4 linked regions of the Saccharomyces cerevisiae S288C genome follow. The protein of the gene in region 4 binds, or shares a complex with, the protein of the main gene of each other region. Each region holds a gene or a part of one and is shown on either strand. Other genes may lie near its edges. A codon is read from its position in the direction of its gene.

Region 1 (7,640 bases), on a different chromosome or scaffold from region 4:
TTTTATCTGGAGTCAATGCGATGAACCTAAAAAAATCACAAGCTTTTTTTATCTCTAAGCTGGGGAAAGAATCGTAGTTAAATCGGAAAGAAAAATATCTGAGTTTTGTCAGTCTTTCTTTTGCATAGCCCATCCTTGTACTAGATTTCATAAACATTGATCACTTCAAAATATACTTGTACCAAGATGGCCGAAAATGAGAGAATGTACATCTCCTATAATAATATTCACAAGCTTTGTCAGGGAGTGGCTAAACATATCTTAGCTAGAAACGAAAGACCTGATATTATTATCGCCATCACTGGTGGTGGTATGATCCCCGCAAGAATTATTAGGTCCTTTTTGAAAACTAAAGGACAAAAGAATATTCCGATTCAGGCCATCGGCCTATCTTTGTATGAAGATTTAGGGTTGGATAATAGCGTCGAAACTATCGGCAAAGAGGTCATCAGAACACAATGGCTGGACTTCGGTGCTTTGAACCAACATTTCGATTCCTTAATTGGTAAAAAGGTCCTAATTGTGGATGAAGTTGACGATACTAGAACTACCCTCCACTATGCTGTTTCTGAGCTGGAAAAAGAGATTGCTGAACAACAAAAGGTTTTGAATAGAATGAGTGAGGAAACCGTTATTTCTATCTTTGTTCTACATAATAAGGACAAACCAAAGAGAGCTGGACTACCTGACTCCATGATGAATTCTGGACGTTACATTGCTGCGCAAACTGTCCCTGATAAGTGGTTGTGCTATCCATGGGACGCTGAAGATATCGAAGAACATACCATGCTCGCTAAGGCTCAAGGTCATGACTGATGACAAACAGTATGTTGCGATGGGGTTGCATGTATATAGATACATATAGTTATCATTGGTAATTATTTCATATTTAACCTAAATCTAAAGATAAGAGTGTATTTCTAGTTATCTCATTTTTCCTTGCATTTCTACCATTTGTTGAACTTGTTGATGCATCATCTCTTTTAAATCGGACACATCATTTTCTAATTCCTCCACTTGTTCAGTCTTTTCACCTAATAGTTGTAAGGAGGTTTCCAATTTACTTTGCATCTGCTCAACTCTTTTTAAGAGATCATCTTTCTGTTTATTTACCTCATTGAATTTATCGTTTTCTTCCAGAAGTCTTAAAATCTCATCATTTGCTTTTGTCTTTTCTTTCAGTAAATTATCGTATAATTCCTTTGATGCTGATAATTCACCTTCCAATCTTTTTAACTCCGTACTTAACTTGTTCACCAGATGAGCGCTTATGTGGCCGTTAGAATTCGATAGCTGGACGCTAGCTCTTCTGTATGGTATTGATGTGTTGTTTAACGAGTTCATTGATTCCCCTTCCCTGATTGCTTGTAAAGCAGCGGCCTCTTCTGGAATATCGTCAATGCTGAAATCCACATTTTTTCTATCAAAATGTTGGCTTTCTTCGCTACATATGGTTTCGTGAGATTCATTGTAAATGGGTTTTAGAGACGGATCGCTTTCTAATTCGCCAAGTTTTGACATTGATAATGACAGCATAGAATTTTCTTGAGGTAAAGTCCATTCGTCTTCTATATTTCCCTCCATGGAGTTTAAACTATCTGTTAATTCTACAGGTATTTTATCTATAATTTTCTCATTGCTGTTTTCTTGATGTGGTTTTAGTTCGTTCTCTTTTTGTTCCAACTGAGACCTTTGAATTTCGTACTTCTTCTTCAGTAGATTATAATCATCACTTATACTTTGCAATGATGACTTCAATGTCTCCGCCCGTCTCTCCAAGTCTTTCACTTCCAAAACTGCCTTCGAATGATTCTCTTTTTCTTTTTCTAATTGCTTACCTAATGTTTCAGATGAACGTAAGGCAGTTTGATATTTTTCTTCAATATCATTTTTTTCTTTCATTGTAGATTCAAAGCGGTTTTCCAAGTTCACAATTTTAGTGTTCAAAGCGTATTCAATACTATCCCAGTTGGCCTTTGATGACTCAAGCTGTTCTTTGAGCCGATTGTATTGGAAAGATGCGTGTTGTTTTTCTTCATAACTTTGTTGGTCATCGACAAAATCTCTATTTGATTTAGCGTCTAAATTTTGAGTAGAGCTATCTAATTCTATTCTTAGTTGTTCTAGTTTAGTCTCTAGAGTGGTAACTTGATCAACTGTTGCTTCTTGTAGTGCTTTCTTTTCCGTTTGAAATTCACTTTTTTCTTTTTCAAGCAATGTTCTCATATTATCTAAAGATTGCTGTAAAATTGTTATCAAATCATCTTTTTCTTTTATATTTTTCTCTAATGTTTCAAGTGACTCTTTTTGTTTATCTGCATCCTTTAATTTATTTGTAGCTTCAGCCAGTTGTCCTTGTATGTTGTGATACAATGATTGCAGCTCATTATAGTTTTCGACACTCTGAGCAGAACTATCGTTTAGTTCAGATACCTCATACTCTAAGTCTTTCACTTTTGTTCTTAAAGCTTTGATTTGATTTGATTGCCTCAGCTCAGTTTCCGCTAATTTAGCTCCTTCTTTTCTCAACTGATCTATCAAGTCGTCCTTCTCTTTAATCAATTTGAAAAAACTAGAATCCGTGGTTTCGATTTGTGATTTTCTGTTTAGTTCGTTAGTTAGGTCATCAATCTGTTTGTTTAATCTTAAATATTCAGGACTAATTTCTTTGACTAATTCTTCAACAGTAAATTCAGTGTAATTTTTAGGTAGCCATGTAGGCAGTGATACCATAGTGTCGTCGAAGCAATCAGTCCTATTGTGATCGGGATGCACCACGTCATCGACAGCGATTGAATCTGCCTTACCTGTATCGCCTTCCACAGTGCTTTCTGATCGTACCGCAGGATCATCTATGTTTTCAGCATTGTCAATTGACACCACACCGGCAGCCGCATCATCAATGGATGTACGAGCACTTTCTTGTTCATTGTTTGACAGCACCACAGGCGATGGAGACGACAAATTTGACGTTGACCTTTTATTTTTCTTTCTTCCTTTCTTAGTTGCCAAGGAGAGTCTCTCTTCCAACGATAATTTTTTACTCATAGCAAAATTGGTATACCACTACCATACAACACTTTTTATATACTATTCTGGACTAAGGACCTTTTAACGACAGTCTATTAAAAGAGGAAGTCAAGAGCTTTTTGGTGAATAATCTACGGTTACTGCCAAATTATGATCTTCTAAATTTTGGCGCTTTATAACATCCTCACACCACTACGAAGCACACTTTGACTACGAAGTATTACTTAAGTTAGACTGGTCTCATTGAAATCTATTAGTTTGATGTATTTAGTCCCTGGATTTGTAGAGCCCTCAATTACTGTTATTATATTAGCCCTAAGTAATAATCTGTATATTGGTATCGTTTTAGATGAAAAATCGTTTAATGTCAGATTCAAATCATGCTCAATTAGTCTTTTCATTAACAGCATGACTTCGTTCGTTAAGCTATCTATTGATTCATCATTATCATCCAAATTCGGTACTAGATAACCCTTGAGAAAGTCCGCCAGTGAGTCCCAAAGCTCTTTATTTCTGGCTTTTCGTGTTCTAATATGGGCGTGATCTTGCTTCTTACTGTCCATAATGGTCATTTGATGCTGCAGTTTTCGTAGCAGCTCTTTCAAGTCACTATTAATATTATTCTGTAACAATAACATGGCCTTTTGATCAACTGATTGATCATTCATAAGCGAGAGCCATTCACTGGAACTTTGGGCTCTCAAAGACAAAAAATTCGATGTCAAACTGAAACCAATAGGATCAGCTCTCTCTGAGAAGAACATGGGTTTTCTTAATAACTCTGTAAAGACCTCAGAATTGACCGGTTTACCCTCTGTATCCAGAGATCTCTTCGTGATCTCATCGATGGCACCTTGAGCTTGCTTCAAGAAATATCGTTTGTTTCCGATCTGGTTCTCCAGGTTCTTTATGTAGACATCCAGGACATCCTTTTCAACATCCATGTTTCCTTTGTGAGACTTTCTGCCGTTTGCTCTTGTCCCTCTTTGTCGTCATATGCGTCTTGTTTGTTGTTACGCTGCATATCAAAGCGAACGGTTAGTTATTAACTAACGTAAAAATTGATGGAAACATTCATTTATATGAAAGTATTGAAGAAGAGGTAAAAAGGAAAACAAATTTACAAACAACAAAGAATGTCTTCTCTATCAACGTCTGATTTGGCCTCCCTTGATGACACTTCCAAAAAGGAAATTGCTACTTTCTTGGAGGGAGAGAACTCCAAACAAAAAGTCCAGATGTCAATCCATCAATTCACTAATATATGCTTCAAAAAATGTGTTGAGTCTGTCAATGATTCTAATTTAAGTTCGCAAGAAGAGCAATGTTTGTCTAACTGTGTGAATCGGTTTTTGGATACTAATATCAGGATTGTGAACGGGTTGCAAAACACCCGTTAATATGAAACCGATTTATCTCTCCGAGTCATTATTCTCTTTACCTTAATATATCTGTAAATAAGCAAATGAATATTTTAATATATGTCCAAGGTTTCTTTAAAAGGGATTCTTCAGCATAAAGGGCAAATAACTCTTTTTGTTTATATACTGTCTAGTTATATATATATATATATGTATATGCATTTGTCTGTGTCTGTGTCTGTTTCCTATGAGAACTCAAAAAGTAACTGAAACCGCGGTTGCTTAGATAGAGTCGATAACTGTTCACCCATAGCGCAGTCACAATTCAGCAACCAGCTTATCGTTTCCTTACATTGTTGTAGTATTGATTCGTTCAACGCATCCTCTTGCGAACACTTATCGTATGTAACTAGAATTAATGATAAAATGTCGAATCTGTGAGCCACTATTCTTTCATTCGGGCAAACCTTTATGAGAGTACTTACCACTGAAAGAGTTTTTGAAATAAGTTTTGGAAAAGTTGTGTAAAAAGGATTTCGTACAATATATTCACCTAAAACAAAAATCAGCCTCTGGAGATGTACAACAGACCCTTCTCTTTGAAGTCTCAGTATGTTCATTGTGCATTCCAATGCGTATAACGTCAAATTTTCGTATGCAAGGCTAGCCCTAGGAATTATGTTTTGCAAGATTATCTCTGACATGAACTTTTCCAGGTGATATTGATACTTTGTGTAATTGTCCAAAAATTCTACTTTATATAACGACTGTATCGTTGGGAAAACGACCCGCCATATGGCTATTGTTTCATCAGCATTGTATGAGGGAGGGAGAAAATAGCACATATTGATTAGCGTCTTTTCGAACAGTGGAAATAAACCAGTACTAGAGAACTGTATCCATTTTGAGTCATTGGTTTCGTTCATAAAGGTATGATTTAATAGCGTCTGTAGGAGCAGAACACCACGAAGTTTAATTCTTCTTATATCAGTGGTATCATCTAGTATGTTTAGAATTCCTGGAATAATCCAAGAAAGATTCGTAGATATGTCTCTCCTTTTCAAATGTAACAGAATTACGTAGAATAACGGAATGCCTTTCAAGCCACCCTGACTTACCCACGCCTGCATTAGGTTATCTTCTTTCAAAGACATTCCAAGCGTGGGTTTGAGACCAAGATTACGTTGCTCTTTGAGTTCGAAGTTGCTTTTGCGTTTTAAAAGTAGTGGCTGTAACTTAGAAATAAGGACGCACATAATTTCGTCATGTTCACTTTTGTTACGCTGAAAGTAGTAATCTATAGTCTGCAAAACATCTGTGTTGATTTGTATGTCTACTCCTGGAGATATGGAGTGATATGAGAGAGATTCAATAAGGTTGACCTCATCGGACACCGTAATTGCACATCCAGTATCTGTCTTCTTTCGTAACTGGAGACACAACTCTCGAAGCCTTGTAGAAGAAAGACTCGAATCATTCAATTCATCGATGATATCAGTTACGGCCGTCATTCTTTTCAATATTTTGTTATATGATTTTATTCTTCACCTCGTTTTCATTCTTCATAGTTTTCGTTTCTCATCTGCTATTGAAAAACCGAACTAGCCGAAGGATAACAATAATGAGTCTTAACTGTTAATATACAAGATTATACAAATAAATATGTTTCTATAAAATAAAAAGTTATATTCAATTGCGAAAAAAATAAATAAATGTGGGAAGAAAACCCAATAGTATGTCCTACTATGTCATATGCTATCATTAATAGGCATCTTCAGACACATCTTCATGGAAGTATTTACCCTCGGTGGTTGGTTTAATGATACCTACTCTTATACAGAAATCACCAAAGTGTTCCCCTTCTTCTCTTTCTAAAGCATACCTTTTAAACAATGGTTTGATGTAGTCGACAATTTCCTCATCCTTCACATTGGCCTTATACAATTTGTTTAGCCTTTGGCCGAGGTAACCACCACCAAGCATCAAGTTATAAGTATGTGGAGCTTTACCAACAAGAGCTAATTCACCTAGCCATGGACGAGAACAACCGTTAGGGCAACCAGTCATTCTCATAATAATGGAATCATGGCGTAAACCATACTCTTCTAAACAATCTTCCAACTGAGTAATAATGTCAGGTAGGAAACGTTCAGATTCGGCAAACGCTAAACCACATGTTGGCAAACCAACACAGGAAGATGAAGATAATCTCAAACCGCTGAAATCGGTGTTATCCAATTTATAGGTCTTTAAAATAGATTTTATTCCAGCAACATGTTCATCTGTAATATTAGAGATAACCAAATGTTGATTACCAGTCAATCTGAAATGACCAGAATTAGTCTTAAGCATGTATTCAGCAACCTTTCTAATACCTGTCTTTTGAGGCAAATCTGGTGTATCTTCAACCCTACCATTTTCAATAAATGCGGTAAAGTGGTTTAACCCAGTTTCATCTTTAATCCATCCAAAGTAATCAATATTAGATTTAAACTCAAATGGTCTCTCAGGCTCGAATTTCTTACCCCAGTATTCCTCCACTTTTTGCTTGAAGCCTTCGACACCCATATCATCTACAGTATACTTTAAACGAGCATGCTTACGGTCTTTACGGTCACCGTGATCTCTTTGGACAATAACGATACCTTCAAGTGGTGGAATAATGTCTTCAGTTTTAACAAAACCTAAGCATGACCCTAATCTTGGGTAAGTTTTCTTGTTGTTATGAGTGGTACCCATACCACCACCAACAAAAACATTATAACCCTCCACGATTTGAGTTTCTGGGTTAACTATAGCAACTAAACCGACATCGATAGATAATACATCCACATCGTTATATGGAGGAACGGCGATGTTGAATTTAAACTTTCTTGGCAGATAAGTTGGACCGTAAATTGGTTCAATATCGACCAAAGCGTTACCGCTAACTAGAGTCTTCTTTTTTCTTGGACCATCTTTTCTGTTTTCAAAAATAGATGGCCAGGATGGATCATCGTCCTGTTCTTCTGGGCCCTCCAGCCAAACTTCGTGGTAGGCCGTAGTCTTTGGTAAGAAATGATCAGAAATCAATTTTCCCATATCAGCGATTTGTTGGTGAACCTTGGCATTGGTTGGTAGAGCAGAAACCATGACATTTCTGTTCACGTCACCTGCAGCAGCTAATGTATCCATAAGAACTGCATTCATTCCTCTCAATGTGTGTTTCAAGTTCTTCTTTAGCACACCATGAATCTGGAAGGTTGCCCT
Region 2 (7,080 bases), on a different chromosome or scaffold from region 4:
TAATACCAACTTTCGAAACTTTGCTCCAGTCAAAATCGGTAAATCGCTTATCCTTTGCGAAATCAGGATGACCATTGTACCAATTGACAAATTCTCTACTGCTAAACACCCCTTTTGTTCCGAGTTCGCCAGGGATATTCAGCTTTCTGTCCCCTGTACAACCATAACTTAAAATAACAGCATCTTGATTATCCAGCAATTCCTTCAACAATATTTCTTTTCCAATGGTTATACCACCAACAAAGGAAAATTTATGCTTTTGGTTTGTAGGGGAAGAAAACTCTTCTGCACATGTGGTAAACGTTTCTTCACAATTTTTGACTTCTGGATGATCAGGTGCCACACCATATCTACTTAAACCAAAAGGAACAGGTAACTTTTCCCATATAGTAACATTTAATGGAATCGGTGACTTCTTGAGTAAATGGTACGCTGTATAAAAGCCGGAAGGCCCCGATCCAACAATGGATACAGTCTTACGGTTTATTTGTGAAGAAATGTGCCTTATTTGAACAAAGCTCATTTTCACAAGTAATGAGCTAAAAAAGGAAGAAGAAAGAGTGAGAAACTTTCTAAATGAATGAATGAGGCGTTGTGGCCAAGAACTATAGCAAGCAAAAAACTTTCTGTTACGTTCGAGCTATAGTTTACTGCTCTTCGAATTATATCTCGATTGAGTTACCCTTAAAGAGTGCCGAAAAATCGATGTAAATAGTATAAGTAAAGATTTCCACTCTTCTATATTTGCAACGCAGTAGACGTACCAAGGGACGATTTGAAAAAAAATGAAGTGTGCCCTCAATCTACCATGTCGGATAAGCCGATTGACATACAATATGATAAACAGGCTACTCCAAATCTGAGTGGTGTAATTACTCCGCCAACAAATGAAACTGGTAATGACTCAGTCCGGGAAAAACTTTCAAAACTAGTTGGCGATGCTATGTCAAACAATCCCTATTTTGCCGCCGGCGGTGGTCTTATGATCCTTGGTACAGGTTTAGCTGTAGCTAGATCCGGTATAATAAAAGCCAGCAGGGTCCTATACCGACAAATGATTGTCGACTTAGAGATTCAGTCGAAGGACAAATCATACGCCTGGTTTCTAACATGGATGGCCAAACATCCTCAAAGGGTATCTAGACACTTATCCGTTAGGACAAACTACATACAACATGACAATGGATCAGTTAGTACAAAATTTTCGCTGGTTCCGGGTCCGGGAAATCATTGGATTCGTTATAAGGGTGCTTTTATCCTGATTAAAAGAGAAAGGTCCGCAAAAATGATAGATATCGCAAACGGGTCACCATTTGAGACCGTAACCTTAACTACACTGTACCGTGACAAACATTTGTTCGATGACATTTTGAACGAGGCTAAAGACATAGCCCTGAAGACTACTGAGGGCAAGACTGTTATTTACACTTCTTTCGGCCCTGAATGGAGAAAGTTTGGTCAACCAAAAGCTAAAAGGATGCTGCCCTCCGTCATTTTGGACAGTGGCATCAAAGAGGGTATTCTCGATGACGTTTATGATTTTATGAAGAACGGCAAATGGTACTCTGACAGGGGTATCCCATATCGCAGGGGATATTTACTCTATGGCCCTCCCGGATCTGGTAAGACTAGCTTTATCCAGGCTTTAGCGGGCGAATTAGACTACAACATTTGTATTTTAAACCTCTCCGAAAATAATTTAACAGATGACAGATTAAACCACTTAATGAATAACATGCCAGAAAGGAGCATACTATTACTGGAAGATATTGACGCGGCGTTCAACAAAAGAAGTCAAACTGGTGAACAAGGTTTTCATTCTAGCGTAACATTTAGCGGTTTACTGAATGCCCTGGATGGCGTCACATCTTCTGAAGAAACTATTACATTCATGACTACCAATCATCCTGAAAAGCTAGACGCGGCTATAATGAGACCAGGTCGTATTGACTACAAAGTCTTCGTTGGTAACGCAACTCCATACCAGGTAGAAAAAATGTTTATGAAATTTTACCCAGGTGAGACTGATATATGCAAAAAGTTTGTAAATAGTGTTAAAGAATTGGATATCACCGTAAGTACCGCCCAGTTGCAAGGACTTTTCGTTATGAATAAAGATGCACCACACGATGCGTTGAAAATGGTCTCCAGCTTACGGAACGCTAATCATATTTTCTAGGTGCTAAGTGGCGCCTTACTACATAACTTGTATATAATAAAAATTCAGAAGATGCTTTAACTTTTTCTCGTTAATAAGACCGAGTTATTTGCTATTACGAACAAAAGAGTATATGATAAAGAGGCTTAAAAATACCCCTTCATTGACTATCCAGAAAAGCCTGCGTTGCAGCTTCAATATGATAAGGATATACTTCCCTCAAACCTTCTGCAGTTGCCCTTGTTCTAGCATCCAGCAGAATTTTTCTTAAAATGGCCTGAAATCCACATGCCAATAATAATTTCTTGTTATATTCTTGACTAGACTCTTGATCTTCATTTTGCCGTTGGAGAAGATCTTCTAGCTTATTCTCCTCCGCATCTAAACTAAGCTGCCGTAGCAAATAATTGGCCAATGCTTCCGTATCCATGGAAGAATGTTAGGAACTGTTGCTATTGTTGTACTTTGGTTATACGACAGTAAGTAACGTTGACTTGGTGACCGAAAATAGACACGAAATCGCTACCCGTTTCCCCAGAATATCACTCCTCACGATGTACCTCGGCGGCTAATCTTTTTGGTAGCCTTTTGTGATATATATATAAATAAATAAGTATACATACATATATATATATATATATTTATACAGCTACATTGTTTTCCTCCAAAATTTTCTGTTGGTTATGAATCGCAAAAGAAGTTTTCAGATTGTGTCCTCTGTTACTATTTCGTTAAGAAAGGAAGATATCGTCTACGGCTGGTGTGACGTAAGTATTGCGTTGTGCTCTAAAAATGAATCAAATCTGGTCTACAGGTCCCCCAAATTTTTACTTCAACTCTGAATGGAAAGAAAATAAGAGAAATGACAGGACAATTGAAGACTCTTTAAGAGAACTAGATGGGTTGATCCATTCCTTGGAGAGAACTCATATTGAAGTACAAACAAACCCAAAGCTAAAGAACGATGTCACAGCTTTAAATGATATTAACAAGAAAGAAAATAAAGAAGAGATCACTCATGAAAACTATACACACCAGATTAATAGTATTCCATTGACAAGCTCAAATTTAAATCGGCATTTCTCCTTTTCTAGAGACTACAACCAATCTGATAATAGCAATAATAATTATTACAGGGAATATTTATCCAAACCAAGGTATTTGCAGCAGTCAACTAAAGAACAAACTTTCAATGAAATTAATAAAAGAAAAAGTGCTGCAATTATTCCCCCTTGGTTAAATATTCCAGAAAACTCAAGATTTTTTGTAATAAAGTCCTCGTCTTTGAAGCATGTCAAAAGGTCGTTTTACAACGGAATTTGGTCGTCTACTCATTTCGGCAACAAAAGGCTATCTGAGGCATATAAAAAGCTTAATTCGGGAGCCAAAGTGTTTTTATTTTTTTCAATCAACACATCAGGAAGATTCTGTGGCGTTGCAGAAATGGTATCGGATTTGAAAATGGATTTGGACACCAGTATATGGGAAGATGAACAAAAATATGGCAAAGCCTTTAAAGTAAGATGGGTGATCGTGCGTGATATAAATAACAGATCGTTAAAAAGGTTTTTGATACCATCCAATGAAATGAAACCGATAACACATTCCAGAGATACTCAAGAAATTCCATATTCGATTGGAATTTCAATAATTAATCTATTTAAAACTCAAGATTCTGATATTTTCTCCTTCTTGGATGAGACGTATGAATAGACCTTATCCCTCATTTATCAACATTTTATTCTCATTTATTATTAGTATTATTATTATTTTTAATATTATTTTTATTTAAAATTATCCTAAAATTACTTCTACTGTTATAACATCCAATCCATAAGAAGCAAAAACAAAGTTTTCATATTAAGCCATCGTAAAGGTTTAAGGCACCAATAATAGAGGGATCGACTTTAGAACCTTCTCTGAATTCGTCCAGCGTAATGTAACCATCTTCGTTCTTATCCATCAACTTGAAGATCTTCTTTACCCTCATTTCGGGCGTTGCCTCATCCTCATTAAGTGTAACCATAGACCCCATCATTTTATAAACACTCGCCACAATGGTTAGCATTTCATCAAATGTAATATATCCATCATGGTTCAAATCATAAAGTTCGAAAGCCCAGCTCAGTTTTTCCTCCAAAGTTCCTCTGGACGTTGTACTCAAAACTGTGATAAACTCTTCAAAATGTATGAATCCATTGTTGTCTTTATCAAAAACTGTAAAAAGGTGATTAGCAAAATCTTCAGGAGAACCAAATGGAAAAAACTGTTTGTATATCTTAACAAAATCTTCCCTAGCTAGTTGGCCACTAGGGCAATCCCTCAAAAATCCTTTATGCCATTGCTGGATTTCTCTTCTATCAAAATAGGTGGATTGTTTCAAACATGTCAGGTCATCTTTGGAAAGCTTTGACGTCTTGGCTCCCATTTTTTTTTTGAATCAAAAACAGTTTTCAAGCACAAAATAACTCTCGCCGATTCTTAAACTAGCAACAATTATAAAACAGGAGGTAATATCCCTAGTTCATCAGTTCAATCGTTGACAAATTAAACATTATTTCAGTACTCTATGGTATAATAATAAAAAATACACCGAAGAGTTACCCTTTTTTCGTTTTTAATGATCAATTCTGGCTCATTTTTTTACTTCCTGAGCAGTCAACTACTACTGAAAAAAAGAGGCTAATGGGTACGCATTTACCTAAAAACAATTAGATCCCTGCCTTGGATCGTAATCTTGTTTATCTATCCTTTTTGGACATTGACATCTATTTGTGTCGCAGTTAATTGCTTTCTGGGTACGTTGACTTTTTCAGTTCTATATCGGCCCGTTGCTTACTCTGTTCAACTCACTTATTCTTTTGTTTCGGTTTGGGCTGCTGCATTTATAGATTAAAAATAAATTTCAAATTTCCACGCTAACAAATAGAGCTAAATTAGCAGTTTCATTGTTGGCTATATTTTCATTACAACTTTTGATCTGATAACGTAAAAGAATTCAAACAAAAACTATCTAAAAAAATACAAAGCAAAAATCATGTCTACTTTACAACGTCGTAGAGTCAATAGGGCGGATTCTGGAGATACTTCCTCCATTCATTCTTCTGCTAACAATACCAAAGGAGACAAAATCGCAAATATTGCTGTTGACGGGGATGATGACAATGGAACAAACAAAAAGATTGCATATGACCCAGAAGAATCGAAATTGAGAGACAACATCAATATCCCTACGTTAACGTTGATGGAAGAAGTCTTATTGATGGGCTTAAGAGATAGAGAAGGATATTTGTCGTTTTGGAATGATAGTATTTCATATGCTTTGCGTGGTTGTATAATTATAGAATTAGCGTTAAGAGGTAAAATCAGAATCTTAGATGATTCCGCCAGGAAAAGGTTCGATCTTTCCGAAAGGTTGATTGAAGTTATTGACAGTTCCAAAACTGGGGAAGTTTTACTGGATGAAACTTTGCAATTGATGAAAAACGACGAACCTTTGTCAATTTCTAACTGGATTGATCTTTTAAGTGGTGAAACATGGAACCTTTTAAAGATCAACTATCAATTGAAACAAGTAAGGGAAAGATTGGCAAAAGGTTTGGTCGATAAAGGTGTATTGAGAACAGAAATGAAAAATTTCTTTTTGTTTGACATGGCGACACACCCCATTGCAGACGCCAGCTGCAAAGAAGCCATTAAGCGCAGAGTACTTTCTGTACTCGTATCGAGGAACATGGAATTAAGTTACAATGAATATTTTCCGGAGACAACATCTTTCAAAATCATTAGAACTTTAGCTTTAATATGTGGATCATATGGGGCAAACGTATTGGAGAATGTCCTGACTACGTTGGAATATGAGAAGAGAGATAAGGCAATTAGTAGAGCTGAAGAAATAATGGCACAATTTTCGCAATACCCATTTGATTTAGAAAAGGAAACTGAGTTAGGTGTCTCCGTTAATTTAAACAAGGAAGTTAAAGAAGAGATAGAAAACAATCCTGGTCATGATTTACAATTGGAAGTTATTGCTGGTGTATTTGAAGTCTTTTCAAGAATGGATATGCTATTATGAAAATAACAACAAAAATCCTCTCTTTGAAACATAAGGAAAAGTCAAGCTTTTTTTTATAAGCCTCTAACATTAATAAACGAAATTTGTATATATGTATATACATATACGGAGTGGATAATAAATAGACCAAACTTTTTGTTATTATATACGCCCACATTCGTATTCATTGCTTTCTTGAATCCAAATGCTTTAAATATGGAGATAAAAATCCGCCATCGCCATATTTATTCAAGTAATATTTTTTAACTCTCACATCTTGAAATATTGATGGTTTTGATGACACATTAAAGTGCAAGCCTTCATTAAATGCGTTTATCAACGACCTTGACTCATTTGCATAAGCTTCACCACATGACTCCCACCAAAAGCCTCCGCCTAAATTGTTATGTGTCACATATTCAGCCTTAGTTTTGACTGATTTAGTGTTATCATAACTGATAAATATTGAATTTTTTTCATCAAAGCAATATGCTGAAACATATTTTGGATCGTATTGTTCTATTGTACCAATCTTTGGTAAATTTTTGTAAGGCCAGATGCCCTCCTTGCCATCAGCTTTATCTATTTCTTTAGTGGGCTTGCCCACTCCTTTGAAAATTTTGTTAATTAATACAGTATTTTGATTGAATGGTTCGAATTTGTTATCTTTGATATGGAAACTTCTTCCGTAGGCGGCCATTCCCAGTACTAATTTTCTAGAATTGACGCCAAATCTATCGATCATATAATGCATGGCAAAGTTTCCATTCAATTCCGTCTCACTGAATAGATTGCTGTGATATCCTGTTGTTTCTGACCACGAGCCATAATAATCGTACGTCATCATATTCCAGTAGTCAACATATTG
Region 3 (7,346 bases), on a different chromosome or scaffold from region 4:
CCTCTGACACACTTTTTGATCCAAGAATCTCATTTCTTATCTCCGCGAAGAATCAAAGAAACCGAAGAAAGTCGTTTTGTTGCTCCGGTGGAGAATCAAGAACTTGGAGGAAGGAGCACAGCAGAGTGTTAAACAAGGCGCTAGTACTCTATATTGTAGAGTCTGTACGTGAATAAATCGACGTGTGTGTACGGTGGAAAAATGCTGTCTCGACCTTCAAGCCGATTCCTATCCACTAAAAGGGGCCCTGGACCTGCAGTGAAAAAATTAATTGCAATTGGGGAGAAATGGAAACAGAAGACAACCCGTGGCTTGCCTAAGCAGGATACTCTGAATAGCGGGTCGAAATATATTCTGTGCCAGTTTCCATATCCTTCTGGGGCGCTTCACATAGGACATCTCCGAGTTTATGTCATTAGCGACTCTTTGAATAGATTTTACAAACAAAAAGGGTACAACGTGATACATCCGATGGGATGGGATGCTTTTGGGTTACCTGCCGAGAACGCTGCTATAGAAAGAAGCATTAATCCGGCCATATGGACTAGGGACAATATTGCAAAAATGAAACAACAAATGCAAAGTATGCTGGCAAATTTTGATTGGGACAGAGAAATAACTACATGTGATCCCGAATACTATAAATTCACCCAATGGATTTTCTTAAAACTTTTTGAAAATGGCTTAGCTTATCGTAAAGAAGCAGAAATTAATTGGGATCCCGTTGATATGACAGTTTTGGCTAATGAACAAGTGGATGCCCAGGGCCGTTCTTGGAGATCAGGGGCTATTGTGGAAAAGAAGCAGCTAAAACAGTGGTTTTTGGGAATAACGAAATTCGCTCCTAAATTGAAAAAGCACTTGAACCAACTGAAGGACTGGCCTTCCAACGTGAAGCAAATGCAAAAAAATTGGATAGGCGAATCTGTGGGTGCAGAATTAGTGTTCAAAGTTGCGGACCCCAAATTTGAAAACTTGATTGTCTTTACAACAAGACCGGAAACTCTTTTTGCTGTACAGTATGTTGCTCTCGCATTAGACCACCCAATTGTACAAAAATACTGCGAGGAAATGCCGGATTTAAAAGAGTTTATACAGAAAAGTGATCAATTACCAAACGATACGAAGGAAGGATTTCAGTTACCTAACATAAAGGCCGTAAATCCCTTAACTAAAGAGGAAGTCCCCATATTTGCAGCTCCATATGTGGTCAGCAGCTATGGTTCAGCACCTAGTGCAGTAATGGGTTGTCCAGGACACGATAACCGAGATTTTGAGTTTTGGCAAACAAATTGTCCTGGTGAACATATCAAGACGTGCATAGCACCTTTTTTTGACGATGCTTCAAAAGTAACTGAACAGGAAAGACAAAGAATAATTGATACTGTCCCGTTCACATCTACTGACGGTGTCCTAACCAAAGAATGCGGAGAACACTCAGGAGTTCTCACTGTAGTGGCAAGGAAATCGATAATGGGGATGTTGAATAGCGAAGGACTGTCTAAGAGCGTCGTTAGATACAAAATTAGAGATTGGCTGATAAGTAGACAAAGATACTGGGGTACTCCAATACCCATCATTCACTGCGACAACTGTGGACCTGTCCCCGTTCCAGAAAGTGATCTACCTGTCAAGCTACCAGAACTTGAAGGCTTGGATACAAAAGGGAATCCGCTGTCCACAATCGATGAATTTGTAAATGTCGCCTGTCCTTCATGCGGGAGCCCTGCGAAAAGAGAAACTGACACCATGGATACTTTTATCGATAGTTCTTGGTATTATTTCAGATTCTTGGATCCCAAAAACACTTCAAAACCATTTGATCGTGAAATTGCAAGTAAAAATATGCCGGTTGATATTTATATTGGTGGAGTAGAACATGCTATCTTACACTTGTTATACTCAAGGTTTATTGCTAAATTTCTCGGATCTATCAATGCATGGAGCGACCCTGCTGGCATCTTCGAACCATTCAAAAAACTGGTGACACAAGGAATGGTTCAAGGGAAAACCTATGTTGACCCCGATTCTGGTAAATTTTTGAAGCCTGACGAGTTAACCTTTGTAAATGACTCTCCAGATGGCAACACAGTGATTATTAAATCAAATGGCAAGGTTCCGGTAGTCTCTTATGAAAAAATGTCGAAATCTAAATACAATGGTGCAGATCCAAATGAATGTATTTTAAGACATGGACCTGATGCTACGAGAGCACATATCCTCTTCCAAAGTCCAATTGCAGATGCCCTGAATTGGGATGAATCCAAGATTGTTGGTATAGAACGTTGGTTGCAGAAGGTTCTTCATTTGACCAAAAATATTCTCAGTCTCGAGAAGGATTTGGCAATAAGTAAAGACTACAAGACCCCGACCGACTTAAATGATGCAGAAGTGAAATTTCACAACGATTTCCAACGCTTCTTGAAATCAATTACGGAATCATTTGAAGTTAATCTATCGTTAAACACTGTAATATCTGATTATATGAAGCTAACCAATATTTTAGAAAGTGCATTGAAAAAAGGTGAAGTAAGGAATGAAATGATAGTACAGAATTTACAAAAGTTGGTAACCGTTATATATCCTGCTGTCCCGTCAATTTCAGAAGAAGCTGCAGAGATGATCAACTCCCAAATGGAATGGAACCAATACCGCTGGCCAGAAGTTGAGCGCACTACTGAGTCCAAATTCAAAAAGTTTCAAATTGTGGTAAATGGCAGAGTCAAATTCATGTACACGGCTGACAAAAACTTTTTGAAATTAGGTAGGGATGCTGTTATTGAAACTTTGATGAACTTACCGGAAGGGAGAATGTATTTGATGAATAAAAAAATCAAAAAATTTGTCATGAAATTCAATGTGATTAGTTTCTTATTCCACAAGTAATCATATGACGCCATGAATTTACCACTAGTGCTTGTAAATAGTTAAATATTAATGCCTTATAGATATAAATTGTCCAATCTCCTTTTTGGAAGTTATAATATATATATATATATATATATGTATATAAATGTGGATGCATATTCTAAGAATTTTGAACGCTATACTTTGAGAGACTCTTCAAATATGTAAACAAGAATGCTGCAATGTCTCTATATGGATTAGCAGTGTTACTCAAATGCATTAAAATCTTTACTCTCAAGTCGTGAATGTTATTAACGCCCTTTATCCAACCATGCTGGCCAATCTCATCATGATGAACTCGAAAGAAATTGTTAAACGTCTCTTCATTTATGATCCCACTGGTGAATTTTATTTTGGTATTTTCGGCCGTTTCCAGTCGTCTTAGAATAATAATACATATGTAGGATAGCGCTGGTATACCAGTTATCGTGAAAAATTTAGCGTTCTTGAAGTCTGCAGTTGGGATATAAAGATTCTCCAAAATCTGCTTAAAGAAATCTGGTGAGACTCCAAACAAACTTTTGGATGACAGAACTTTATTCCTGTAAAGATAATTTGTCAAATCCATGATATATTGGTTCTGCATCCGAACGAATTTGTTTGTTGACGGGTATTGCATCAATTTATTTTTCGTAGCAACCAAGTACCTGCACGCAGCTGATAATAGCAAAGGATCGTCCGAACTGAACACTTTATTCATGATGTCAGGGCCCACAATCAAATATTGGATCGCATAATCCGACTTCGTTTGTTTCGACAGTTGAGTTAAAATATCTAACGAGCTGATGAAAGCCATCGTAGAAAATCTGTTTGAAGTAGCATTGTTAAAGATTTTGTCCAAAGTTAGCAGGCTTTGCATGTCATGCAGTAGTGTCAACCCGAGTGCTATCAATTTATCATCTAAAACCCAGTTTGTAATCATTTGTAAAACGTAAAAACAAGTTTCAGAAAATGTGCAATTATTGTCGTGACCATCTCGTGTACTCCACATAAAAATACTGGCCATAAACTTAACGAAAAATTCCCTTGTACCACTGATTAGTTCAGGCTTCCATAATGGCAAGATTCCGCCACAAACCTTTTTCAACGTAAGCTCATCGAGTTTTAAGTATTTCAAATTACAAAACGTTTGAATAATGCGAGAAGACAGTTTATTATCCATTGAGGACACCGAAATAATAATGGGAATAACTTCTTGCGGAGTCTCTATCTGATGTGCAAAGCATCGCTTCAATTGCCAAATGCACCATTCGTATGGTGATGACGACTCATCGCGGCTATTTTTAATGAGAATGATACTAGAGTACAAGTGTTTGAGAGAATCCCTAGACATGACTTTTCGCGGCAGTAAAACATTGCTGTTTAAAGATGGCTTCATCATGTAATCTACATCATTGGGAATATGCAATTGTGGCCAGTTTTGAGCTAATTGTTCCAATGAAGTGACATCCCAAAGAGAGACCGTACTGTCAGAGGGAACATATTCTGGAAGTGATTGAAGTCGAAGTGGGTATATAGAATCAGCACCTAATTGATGAATTTCACTCAAGTACATGTCAATTGTGTTTTGGACAGTGTCAGCGGGAAAATTAGCGGGATGTGCTCTGGATAATATTCTTTTCAAAATGGATAGGAAATGCGCATCCAATTTTAAGTTTCGATGACTTTTCAAAGTCTTTCTATTGCAATTGATGGTAATTATTGATTCAGTAATCTGACTGGATGCGCCCACGAGACATTGAAATCGTTGCAAAATAAGCGTCGCACTACCGGGAGCGTCCCGGTAACCTGGATGCATAGCGCATCTCTTGATAATAGACAACTTCCAAGGTTTGACATCAACGGGCGTCGTGGCTTGCCAAATAACCAGGGGAGTTATCCACTTCTGTAAGAACGAGAATTGCCATAAATGTAACCAGATAGAACTGGATATATTGTGTTCTCGTTCTGAATGTACAGGAAATAGGAAATAAACATGCACTAACCATTTGCACAACGCAGATTGTAGGACCGGAGGCGTTTGTATGCGATATCTAGAGAATACCGTTGGCGTACCGAGATGGTTAATAATCTCCAAAAGAAGTTCCTTCGTCAAGTAGCCATCAGGTAAAAAGCAATTTTCGACGATGTACACTTTTGTAACTGTGTCTATTATGGAAGTTTCACAGAGTAACCTTACAAGTGCTTGTAGTTGCGGCGAAGAAAGACCATATTGTTTTGATTTTTCGTATAGCAGGCTTAAAGTGGTTTTAAGGGCCTGTGGTGGCGTTCGTTCGTTAGCATTCGTTAGTGAGAGGATGATATCATCTAGTATAAGACTCATTCATGTAAAAAAAACAAAAATTGAAGGGCGAACCGTATTAGCAGGCGTATTGTTTTTCATTTCATAGTTGATTGTTTTTGATAATAAATGATTCTATAATTTTTCGCGTATTATACAAATAAAAGTAAAAGAAAAATAAGATAGAGGGACATATAAAGAAATAGATGTTTTTATAATAAAGGTCTATACAGTATGGAGCGTCGCGTGGCTTGGCTCAAACTTTTAGAGAACCATTGTAGTCATAAACGGATCTTGATCTGATGTACGGATCTAACTTGGAGTAGTTTTCACAAAGAGCGGTGGAAAGTTGTACTCTTTTCTCCTGCAGTTGAATGTATGCTGGATCGTTCAATGGCTGGTGTTCAATCCATTGGGCAGTGACAGTCAAGAATTGTTCGACCAATTCTTCTCTCTCCTTTTCGATCATAGCGCGAGTCTCGGTGTCTTTCAGATGGACGTCCAAAGAGCCATCTGGTGGAGTGTAATGATCCAAATCATTGTCATTTTCTCCGCCCAGATACCTAGGGATGTATTGGGGTTGGATAAACTTGTGCAATTCGTCGATATTCTTAGTGAAAACAATCTTGGACGCGACGACCGGATCCAGCCAATTCTTGATGATGTTCCAAATCGGGTTAAAGATCCAAGGGGCCTTATGGATAAGTAGATGGCCCAAAGATTCCGGGTAGTGAGCCTCAAAACAAGTGATTAGAAACTTGACGGGGGCATAGTCCATATTGGACATGGAGAACCCGTTCAGATCGAACAAGATGGTGGTGGATGCGGGGTAGTTTTCTTTGAAGAAAAGCTTTGATTGCTCGATGACCAACAGGGAGAATTTTTCCAGCTCCTGTTCAGTTTGGTCGGAAGAATGATGTAATCTAGGTCTCACAAGGATGACTGGCCTCATGTCATTGTCGTAACCCTGGATGGTGGCCTTTTGCAATTCCAGGTTCTTAATGACACCGGTCTCGTTATTCTCATACACAGCTCTTTCGCCACCGTTTATGATCTTGTTAATAGTGTCCTTGCGCCAGTACAAATCGTGACCCAACATGGCGATGGTCTTGTCTGCGTTCCACTTTCTGGCTCTGATAAACTTCAAAATGGTGGCGTCTGGAGTTTCATTCTTGATATCGTGCCAGAACTGCTTCTTGGTCGTTTGCGGGTCTAGATTGGCTAGTGCCTTGTGTATCTTGCCCTTTTCATAGAGGTGTGCCGCTTCAGCGGCTTCGCTGGAGTCCTGTGTATGGTCTGAGGACTGAAGCTTGCTAAACCAGGATGATTTCTTCTTCTTAGCAGGGGTGGACGAGGAGTGGAGGGAGTTATTAGGGAAAATATGAGTTCCATCCACGGGAACTTGCCACAGATGGAAAAGGTGTGTCCAAATTTGCTTAAGGACGACCTCCTGGTCTTCGGTCAACTGTCTATCAAAGGACATAATCTAGTTTATATGTGGTCTTCTTATGTGCTTTTGTGCTTTTATGCTTCTGTGTGCGTACGTATCCGTATATTTGTATGTTTGATTTTGTTTAAAGGAGCGTAAGTGACAAGTGCCAAGATTTAAAGAGCGTACCAAACGCTATTGTTTTCACCATGTGAACAAAGCTGTAACGATTTTATGTACGTACGCAAGAGGACGATGCCGATTGAAGGCAGGAGCTCAACAAACACGAAACAAAACAACGAAGAAAGAAAAGAAATATATCAGAGAACAGAGACCGCCTCGTTTAGGGCCGCACGTATACCGCGCACTCTTGGGACGCAGGGACGCGATGGCCTTGCCATGTGCAAGATAAACAAGCTGTCAACGGCACAAGTAGCGTTTATTTGAGACCTGCTTGCTTTAGCTTGCATCATCTCTTGTTCTTCTTACAGTGGTCGCCTTAGACCATCCCATTAGCCAGTTCATGGCCAACTCTCCGTGTGACATGACGAGTGGTTTTCCCGAGTGGAAAGGTTCAGAAATGCATCTGGATTCCGATGGCATACGGTAATTGCCGGCATTATAACACTGTACTACCGAATCCGTCGTTCGTCACCATATTAATTTTCACTCTTGTTGCAGTTATACCGCTATAAGCAATTGAGCCTGCTGAAAGCTTGCTATAAGCTA
Region 4 (7,938 bases):
TTAATTTAAAGGGCTTTGAACAGAAGTGGGAACTTCTTCCGCCTTATTAAGCTATTTTTCAATCGAATATAATTGAAAAAGTAATTGCTCTCACAGGTAGTCGAATCGTAAAAAAAGGGCAGTAAGAACAGCACCCGACATGGCTAACCAGGTAAGTAGTAAACTGTTTCGTTCCAAGACGCTAATGCTATTTTATTAACGCTCTCTTTTTTCTCGTTTGCAGAACTCTGACCTTTACAAGCAAATCACTGCCGGCAGTGTAGCTGCTGTGTTTCAAACGACAATGACATACCCATTTGAGTACTTAAAGACTGGTTTACAATTGCAACCGAAGGGTACCGCTTTCGAAATCATTTTACCTCAGATTAAGTCGTACTTTGTTGGCTGCTCTGCCCTAAACGTGGCCGCATTTGGTAAGACTATTTTAAGGTTCGTTACGTTCGACAAGTTATGCCACTCCCTGAATAATAACATTGATAATAATGATAATTTTCAAAGACTGACTGGTTATAACCTTTTGATCGCTGGTACGTTGACAGGAATAGTAGAAAGTTTGTTTATTATCCCTTTTGAAAACATAAAAACCACCCTTATCCAATCGGCGATGATCGATCATAAAAAATTAGAGAAGAATCAACCTGTAGTTAACGCAAAGGCAACCTTTCACAAGGTGGCGACTAAATCTACTCCTGTGGCTCGTATCGAGAAACTACTTCCAGCGGTAAAACACATGTATCAAACAAGAGGCCCTGCTGCGTTCGTCCAGGGAACAACAGCCACCATATTTAGGCAGATAGCTAACACCTCTATTCAATTTACTGCATACACAGCATTTAAACGGTTGTTACAAGCAAGAAACGACAAGGCATCCTCAGTAATAACGGGGTTAGCCACATCTTTTACACTCGTGGCAATGACTCAGCCCATTGACGTCGTAAAAACAAGGATGATGAGTCAAAATGCCAAAACTGAATATAAAAATACCTTAAATTGCATGTATAGAATATTTGTTCAAGAAGGCATGGCCACATTCTGGAAGGGCTCCATCTTTAGGTTTATGAAAGTCGGTATTTCAGGAGGCTTAACGTTCACTGTTTATGAACAGGTTAGTTTGTTACTAGGCTTCTCTTCCAGGTCTTGATAATTTTGTGGATCTTTTACTCTTTTCTGTACATAAATTGCCACTATTTAATTATTTTCTCTACGGTATCTTTTTTAGAACAAATAACTTTCAATTCTTGATTGAAGTTCTAAGGGAAGCAATTCGTGCGCGAGCTCAAACATATCATCAACGTTATTGATAATACCCATATCGATAAACGAATCTACCAATTCCTGTTTTTGTAACGTGCCGATTTTTTGTTTCAAGAAATCCATTATATTTAAAGATTCCTCCTGTATAGTAGACCACGTTTGTTTCGGCAATATTATCCTATTCTCATTCAAAAATTGCCTTGTAAGATGTTTTAGATCCATTATTTGCAGCGGTTTTATAGAAGAACGTCTCACCGCAGGGACATTTAAACGGATAGGATCGTTGCCTATATCATCCAAATTTTCGTCACTGGTGTTTTCAAACGAATAATCTTCGTTTTCTGCTTCTTCTGTCTCCTCTTTATCGTCGCTTGGTAAATCTTCAGATAGTGGTTCTTCCTGTTGCGTTATGGAAATTGGTACCGGATCACGTACTGGCGGTTCATCTACCTGATCCATTCCAATGCTTGGCGACGTGCGCAAAACTTCCATAGAGATACTGTTAGCTTTATCTGGAGAGTGCACTGTCAATTCATCCTCGTGTCCTGTCGTGGGAACATCTTGTATTATTATCGGGTCAATCTTCCTACTTTTCAAGCCTTTGTCTCTTTCCTGCAATTTTGCAAATACTGTTTGCGATAAGGAAGTATAATCAGGTTGCGTTTCATTGCCAATGTTGTTATCTGTCAGTTTCTCACTTCTGCTCCGAAGAAGCTCATTCTCCTCTGGTTGGCTCTCTTCGTACGCTAATTCATCTATTAGATTCCGTGCTTGAGTTTTATTAGTAGTTGTATCGTTGCCTTGTGATTTGCGTGCTAACACTTGGCTTAAGTCTTGTAAAAAACTTCGTACTTCGTTCGGATCTTTATTGAGGATGTCATGAGACTTAGTAGAAGCAGATAAAAGTTTTCTATAACCTGGCGTATTTCTGATCAGTACCTCATCCTTGAGACGTTGTTCTTCAAGGGCTCTCTCCCGAAAGGGGGTTCTGATCTCTGAGACTTCTGTATTCTCGTTGTTACCGGCGGCCTTCCTGGGAGTGCTCATTATTCATTTCTTATTTCGTTACTAATCGTCGTGTGTGTCATTAATCGGTAACGCGTAGCTTCTTAATCTTATTTAGAATATGTAAATAAAAAAAAGTAAAAATCGAAGCCTAAGCATTTTCAATGAGCCAGTTTCAATGAGAAATCAATCACTGGTGTGCCTTGATGAATGCTACTAGTGCTGTAAATGTCAATGTCATCGCACAAATACTCCTCGAGGTTGTCCAAATTCAAGCCTCCACTACATTCCAAGAGGAAATGCTTTTTACCATTCCATTTGTTCTTAAGACTTTGGGCGCACATTTTCAAACCGTCACCTTTGAAATTATCCAACATGATAACGTCTGCACCAGCTTCAATGGCCTCTGTGGCTTCATCTTCACTCAAACACTCCACTTCGATCTTCACAGCAAACCCGCACACGGCCCTGGCGTTCTTAACTGCGTTTGTTATAGAACCAGTAGCCCAAATATGATTATCTTTGAGCATGACCATAGAGGAAAGGTCGTATCTGTGCGTGTCGCAGCCACCTACAAGCATGGAATACTTTTCTAATCTACGTAAACCTGGTGTAGTCTTTCTTGTCCCCGCAATGGTCCCCTTGTAACCAGTCGAACGCGCCAAACTGATTATCTTATGTGAGGCGGTGGCAATTCCACTACTTCTACTAAGGATGTTCAAGGCGGTTCTTTCAGCTAATAGAATGTTTTTAGCGGGCCCAGTAATTTTAGCTACAACAATCTTACCAGAGTCATTCTTCGAAGGCTCCAAGAAGGAGCCTTCCTTAAACAACCACTCAACTTGCAATTCGCACTGATTAAAGACTTCTTGCGCAAAGGGGACACCACACAGCATACCATCCTGCTTACAGTACAAATTGGCCTCCTTTAGGTCGGAACCAACAACATATCCACCAAAATCAAAAGAAGGAACGTCCTCGCTCAGCCAATTGGTGACGTCTTGTCTCCATGCTCCATTAACGGGCAATAAGTGTTCATAAACAGGCATTTTTTTTTTTTGGTGTGTGTTCTTTCTGAGGATTGCGTTCTTTTTGTTGCGTTATTAAGTGGTGTCTTTAATTTTCGAATTTATGGCCCAAGATATACGAAAACTGCGGTAGGAGTCATGATAAATGGGGGCTCTTCAACCAACCGGCGTCACCAAAAGCAAAAATATCCTGGAGCGAAATATCACATTGTTTGTAACCAAGCTTGTACCTTTGACAAGTTAACTTACGTCTTGCCGGGGTTTGCTACTACGCATTCAAGTATATAAAACGTTGTGACACACAAGTTGATAGAAACCTCAGGATGTATAACTACAATTCTAGTTTCCATCTCATTAGTCCCAAATGACAATAAAAAAAATTACTGGCCATGGAAGATGACAAGCCGAATATTAGCTCCTTCGATCGAACTGTGCGTGGAGAAGAAGCTACTACTATTTAATAATTAGTATCCCGTGATTTTGAGCTGTCGCTGGCATTATGTACCTGACATTAGGTATTTAGGAAAGGTAGGGTAGATCAGTTTAGTACCTCAATGGGTGCGGAAGGTTAATCTTGAAAAATTTGCGATTAGTAGACAAGTTTATTCTCACAAGAACAAAATATTCAGTTCATTTCAGATATGATCGTGAAGGTGGAAATCTTTTTTTTAAAAATGAGAAGTGTGCCCAACAAAGAAGTAAAAGACAAGTTAGCTTTCTGTCATGCTTGAAAACTTTATGGAAGCCTGTGCATTGGCATTAGAGGCATCTCCGACAATCAGAAGAACACTTCTTGTTATTATAATTACCCATATATTTTTTTTTTTTTCAAATTGACTACTAGGAAAAAGTGACAATTTATAGTAAAACTGGCTAGAAAAACCTACAAGAAAAACAAAACCAGGTTAGGCATACATTAATACAAGATTATATCAATCGGAAGTTCGTATGCAAAATTGCATATGGAGCAAAGGAAAGGACTTCCATTTAAGACGACAGTATGAGTTATAAGGCTAACCAACCATCTCCTGGGGAGATGCCGAAAAGGTCACCTTCCATCCTGGTGACAGATGCAAGAACATCCAAGAATAGAATGAGTGCACCGTTCGCTGGACACGCTGCTGGTAGTAGGAAGAATATGGAAAACGCAGGAGTTACGAAGTCTCAAGGAGTTCGCTCTTCCGCTATTGGCCCTTCTCCGCTGCAGAGTTTTACTCATCCAAGAAGGCGATCGTCTGGCAGGTTTAGCGATATATCCATAGATAATATTCTTTCTGATAATTCAGATATTCCCTCTGCCAGAAGAGAGGAAAGGCTATCCAGCTCTTCAAGCGATAGGCCTCGCCAATATGAGCGGTTAAGTTCGCGTAGAAAGATGATCAATCCCCTGCCTCCAAGAACATCGAAGACGTCACAAAAGTTAGTGTTGATACCGGAAGACGACAACTTGAACCACTTTCAAACTCTACCAACGAACGCGCTGGATAGGCAAAGACCGAAAGTGGGCTCTATGAAGTCTAATTCCTTCGATCGGCTACCTCGATACTCAAAAGAAAAGTCCATGGCAAGAATCACCGCATATAATGTTGCTGATGGCTTCAATCTCAACCAATTGTATAAGTTTCTGCAGGAAACTCATGAGGTTTCACCAAGATTGTATGATGAGTGTCTATACGTTGCGTATACTTTGCCACTTCTACCAGGTAAAGGCGGTTTTAGAATCAAATCAAATTTATCTAAGAAAACAATGGGTGGAAAGACATTAATTGATAATTTAATTGATACAAGCGAACAGAGAGATCATCATTATGAATATTACTCAGGTGTGGAAACTGTGGAAGATGCAAATAATAATTACGAACTAGAAACCAGTGGAAATAACAATAACGCTAATCAAGACACCACAACAGTTCCCGATCATCTACCAAATCCAGTTGGTCAGCAAGACTCTTTTAATCCTATGGAACCACAATTTTTTGCGGAAGAAACTCCCTTAGAGATAGAGAAACGGGAAAGGACAGAAAGAATAAACATGCTGAAGAAGGAGGAAAACGACAGTGATGCAAGTTGTGGCAACGATAATAATAATAAAAATAATGATAAGAGTAAACTTTATGCTGTTGAGGGAAACGATCAGTATGTACAGTCCTCTCGTTCACCAGCTTCGCCATCATCAATATCTACGCCATCGCCACCATCTTCATCACAGAATGATTTTGATCGTGTATATAAAATGCATAGGGACAACGACCATGAAGGCAATGATAGACATGCAGAAATTTTCATTTTTCACTATGGCGTTATTGTTTTTTGGAACTTTACTGAAATTCAAGAGAAAAATATTCTTGGTGATATAACATTTGCAGATTATAAGAATTTAATGATCCGGCCGCTGGATGAACAAGATATTGAAACTGAACAATTCCATTTCGAATATGACAGAGATACCGAGAGACCGAGAATTTTCAATGATATTGTCACATTACGTTCAGGTGACCACATTATCGAGCTGACACTATCACATGCGATTGCGCAATCTTCGAAATTATCAAGGTTTGAATCCAGAATTTCGCCGATTTTAATATCAGTCACAAAACTACCTAAAAGACTAGCATTATATGGTACCCTTGGGTTAAAAAGGGAACAGCTTTTGAAAAAATCAGGGAAGCTCTTTAAATTGAGAGTGGATGTTAACCTTTCATCCACCATATTGGATACACCCGAGTTTTTTTGGTCGTTCGAACCAAGTTTGCATCCACTGTACGTGGCAATGAGGGAGTATTTAGAAATTGACCAAAGAGTACAAGTATTAAATGATCGTTGCAAAGTTTTCTTGGAATTCTTTGATATATGCGTTGACTCTGTTGCTGAAAGAAACATGGCTCGTGTTACATGGTGGTTTATTCTTGTCATTTTATTTGGAGTTATATTTTCATTAACAGAGATTTTCGTTCGTTATGTAATTATTCATCGTCATACTTCTACATAGATATTCATACACCCTTCTAGACGGCATTAAAAATAAATTAATGATATATTTAGTTATCAAGGTTTTTAGTCATATATTTCACCGTTATTACCATTCTTGGTCACGTGCAAGTAAAACCACTCGTTGATTGGCTCCCCTCAAGATTGCATTAAAAGTACAATAATATGACTAAGGGACTCGAATATGTAAATTCATCTTTCGCATCAACAAAGGAGAAAAAGACGATAGTGAAGACTAATATTTTAGCCAGATTGCAGTGTTTCAGTGATCTTAAAAGTCTTTTTCATTTCTAGCCGCATTGAATTCTTTAAAGCAAACCATTAAGGAGTACTTCCCCAGGTTTTTAACCGATAATAAGAGTAAGATAAAAGTACAAGAAGACAGGGAAATGATTGCTACACCTATAAGATTAGCAAAGAGTGCATATGAGCCGATGATAAAATTCGTCGGTACAAGGCATCCCTTAGTGAAGCATGCAACTGAGGTCGTTGTTCATCCTTGCGCTACCAACGGAATGTTACCTGGCAGCAAAGAGTGTATTCCAGTGAGTAAATTCATGGAAAATTATAAACCATTCCGTGTAGTGCCAATAAAGCATAGCGCTAATGCTGGTCTCAGCTCGTCAAAGACCTCTGTATTCGTTAACAGGCCATTGCAAAAAGATGAGCTTGCTTCCATTTTCGAGCTACCTGCTAGGTTTCGGTACAAACCTATTAACGAGCATGAATTGGAGAGCATAAATAGCGGTGGTGCATGGTGAAGGATAGATGCAGTAATATTATGATTTTTTTTTGTTATTTTATAGTTTCTTTACACATATCATTATATCTATGTAAAAACGTAGTTACTTAGGAAGAGAGAAGAGTGATGATATTATGAATTGAAAAATAAAAATAAAATGAGTATTTAATGAAGGTGGGATAAAACTCTTCTAAATTTTTTGAGTACCGTAGCCTTTAATATCCTTGGCGAAGTCCCATTTCATGTTTTCAACTTGCAAGTTTTTCTTGAAAGTTAAACCTGTGTTCTTATCAATTATGGCCAGTGAGAAGTTTCTAGAAGAACGGGCATCTCTATAATAAAGAACTCTCATTGCATTTACGATCGCCTCTTCAGCAACCTGTACAGTGGTCTTTGGAATATCAGATTCTCGATCTACAACTTTCCTTAACAGTGGGTTTGCCATGTGTGCCCCAAAACCTGTGGCCAAGGTGGGAGACGAATACGTAACACCTAGAAGATTTACGTATCTTAGGAATTGATCACCATTAGACTGTACACCAGCAACAATGATGGCATTCCAAAGTGGATTCATCTTTGATCTTCGCTGGTACATGACGGTAGCTAGATATTCAAAAATATAGCTGGGTTCGAGCGCTTCTTCAGCATCCGCTAGAGGATTGTCATACGCATTTTCAGTGACTAGATCTTTCAATAATCTCTCAATGTGTTGCATATCAGAAATATCACCTGAAATGCCCACAACGGTGTTATCACCCACGGGAATAAGCCTCTCCACGCCATTGAATCTTAGAAGAGAGCCATATGAACCTAAATTATCTGCTGCAATGATAACCCCATTATCATATTTCATTGATATGACGGAAGTACCTGTTACTATTGGTTGCTGTGTATTAACCATGGGAGAGGCGCCTGCGTTCG

What was found.
Region 1: the proteins of CNN1 (region 4) and MCM22 are in contact, whole or in part, in a crystal structure (PDB 6YPC), measured with the Saccharomyces cerevisiae proteins. Residues at the interface, in NP_116704.1 of Saccharomyces cerevisiae: Asp338 (codon at 1,290), Phe341 (codon at 1,281), Glu342 (codon at 1,278), His345 (codon at 1,269), Leu350 (codon at 1,254), Gln353 (codon at 1,245), Ser354 (codon at 1,242), Glu357 (codon at 1,233); in NP_012669.1 of Saccharomyces cerevisiae: Tyr205 (codon at 3,362), Arg206 (codon at 3,359), Leu209 (codon at 3,350), Arg210 (codon at 3,347), Asn212 (codon at 3,341).
Region 2: the proteins of CNN1 (region 4) and WIP1 are in contact, whole or in part, in a crystal structure (PDB 6YPC), measured with the Saccharomyces cerevisiae proteins. Residues at the interface, in NP_116704.1 of Saccharomyces cerevisiae: Ile270 (codon at 1,494), Lys271 (codon at 1,491), Pro272 (codon at 1,488), Leu273 (codon at 1,485), Asp277 (codon at 1,473), Leu278 (codon at 1,470), His280 (codon at 1,464), Leu281 (codon at 1,461), Thr282 (codon at 1,458), Phe285 (codon at 1,449), Leu286 (codon at 1,446), Asn289 (codon at 1,437), Arg290 (codon at 1,434), Ile291 (codon at 1,431), Ile292 (codon at 1,428), Leu293 (codon at 1,425), Pro294 (codon at 1,422), Gln296 (codon at 1,416), Thr297 (codon at 1,413), Thr300 (codon at 1,404), Ile301 (codon at 1,401), Glu304 (codon at 1,392), Ser305 (codon at 1,389), Asn307 (codon at 1,383), Ile308 (codon at 1,380), Met309 (codon at 1,377), Phe311 (codon at 1,371), Leu312 (codon at 1,368), Lys313 (codon at 1,365), Leu319 (codon at 1,347); in NP_001032576.1 of Saccharomyces cerevisiae: Met1 (codon at 2,588), Asp2 (codon at 2,585), Thr3 (codon at 2,582), Glu4 (codon at 2,579), Leu6 (codon at 2,573), Tyr9 (codon at 2,564), Leu10 (codon at 2,561), Arg12 (codon at 2,555), Gln13 (codon at 2,552), Leu14 (codon at 2,549), Ser15 (codon at 2,546), Ser37 (codon at 2,480), Gln38 (codon at 2,477), Glu39 (codon at 2,474), Tyr40 (codon at 2,471), Asn41 (codon at 2,468), Lys42 (codon at 2,465), Leu44 (codon at 2,459), Leu45 (codon at 2,456), Leu46 (codon at 2,453), Cys48 (codon at 2,447), Gly49 (codon at 2,444), Phe50 (codon at 2,441), Gln51 (codon at 2,438), Ala52 (codon at 2,435), Ile53 (codon at 2,432), Leu54 (codon at 2,429), Arg55 (codon at 2,426), Ile57 (codon at 2,420), Leu58 (codon at 2,417).
Region 3: the proteins of CNN1 (region 4) and CTF3 are in contact, whole or in part, in a crystal structure (PDB 6YPC), measured with the Saccharomyces cerevisiae proteins. Residues at the interface, in NP_116704.1 of Saccharomyces cerevisiae: His280 (codon at 1,464), Leu281 (codon at 1,461), Arg283 (codon at 1,455), Gln284 (codon at 1,452), Asn287 (codon at 1,443), His345 (codon at 1,269), Glu346 (codon at 1,266), Leu347 (codon at 1,263), Leu348 (codon at 1,260), Pro349 (codon at 1,257), Leu350 (codon at 1,254), Glu351 (codon at 1,251), Gln353 (codon at 1,245), Ser354 (codon at 1,242), Glu357 (codon at 1,233), Ser358 (codon at 1,230); in NP_013485.1 of Saccharomyces cerevisiae: Thr91 (codon at 4,960), Pro92 (codon at 4,957), Thr93 (codon at 4,954), Val94 (codon at 4,951), Gln141 (codon at 4,810), Phe142 (codon at 4,807), Ser143 (codon at 4,804), Phe144 (codon at 4,801), Arg173 (codon at 4,714), Met176 (codon at 4,705), His177 (codon at 4,702), Pro178 (codon at 4,699), Gly179 (codon at 4,696), Tyr180 (codon at 4,693), Thr210 (codon at 4,603), Asn212 (codon at 4,597).

Annotation. Positions count from the first base shown.
Region 1 is NC_001142.9:672,805-680,444, forward strand, and holds MCM22 (Mcm22p), read right to left. Parts: upstream 3,975-7,640; coding exon 3,255-3,974; downstream 1-3,254. Other genes in the region: XPT1 (xanthine phosphoribosyltransferase), read left to right, coding at 187-816; SGM1 (Sgm1p), read right to left, coding at 925-3,048; protein transporter TIM8, read left to right, coding at 4,167-4,430; TTI2 (Tti2p), read right to left, coding at 4,637-5,902; MET5 (sulfite reductase (NADPH) subunit beta), read right to left, coding at 6,153-7,640. UniProt on the Saccharomyces cerevisiae protein: Component of the kinetochore, a multiprotein complex that assembles on centromeric DNA and attaches chromosomes to spindle microtubules, mediating chromosome segregation and sister chromatid segregation during meiosis and mitosis.
Region 2 is NC_001136.10:1,220,265-1,227,344, reverse strand, and holds WIP1 (Wip1p), read right to left. Parts: upstream 2,589-7,080; coding exon 2,319-2,588; downstream 1-2,318. Other genes in the region: ARH1 (NADPH-adrenodoxin reductase), read right to left, coding at 1-523; bifunctional AAA family ATPase chaperone/translocase BCS1, read left to right, coding at 809-2,179; PHO92 (mRNA-binding phosphate metabolism regulator), read left to right, coding at 2,951-3,871; FRQ1 (frequenin), read right to left, coding at 4,014-4,586; VPS74 (Vps74p), read left to right, coding at 5,196-6,233; CTS2 (putative chitinase), read right to left, coding at 6,397-7,080.
Region 3 is NC_001144.5:877,607-884,952, reverse strand, and holds CTF3 (Ctf3p), read right to left. Parts: upstream 5,231-7,346; coding exon 3,029-5,230; downstream 1-3,028. Other genes in the region: leucine--tRNA ligase NAM2, read left to right, coding at 202-2,886; CSR1 (Csr1p), read right to left, coding at 5,445-6,671; YLR379W-A (uncharacterized protein), read right to left, coding at 7,237-7,346. UniProt on the Saccharomyces cerevisiae protein: Component of the central kinetochore, which mediates the attachment of the centromere to the mitotic spindle by forming essential interactions between the microtubule-associated outer kinetochore proteins and the centromere-associated inner kinetochore proteins.
Region 4 is NC_001138.5:241,859-249,796, forward strand, and holds CNN1 (centromere-binding protein CNN1), read right to left. Parts: upstream 2,302-7,938; coding exon 1,216-2,301; downstream 1-1,215. Other genes in the region: MRX20 (Mrx20p), read left to right, coding at 140-151, 224-1,141; BNA6 (nicotinate-nucleotide diphosphorylase (carboxylating)), read right to left, coding at 2,421-3,308; RMD8 (Rmd8p), read left to right, coding at 4,288-6,276; alpha-ketoglutarate dehydrogenase subunit KGD4, read left to right, coding at 6,665-7,036; PRE4 (proteasome core particle subunit beta 7), read right to left, coding at 7,208-7,938. UniProt on the Saccharomyces cerevisiae protein: Component of the kinetochore, a multiprotein complex that assembles on centromeric DNA and attaches chromosomes to spindle microtubules, mediating chromosome segregation and sister chromatid segregation during meiosis and mitosis.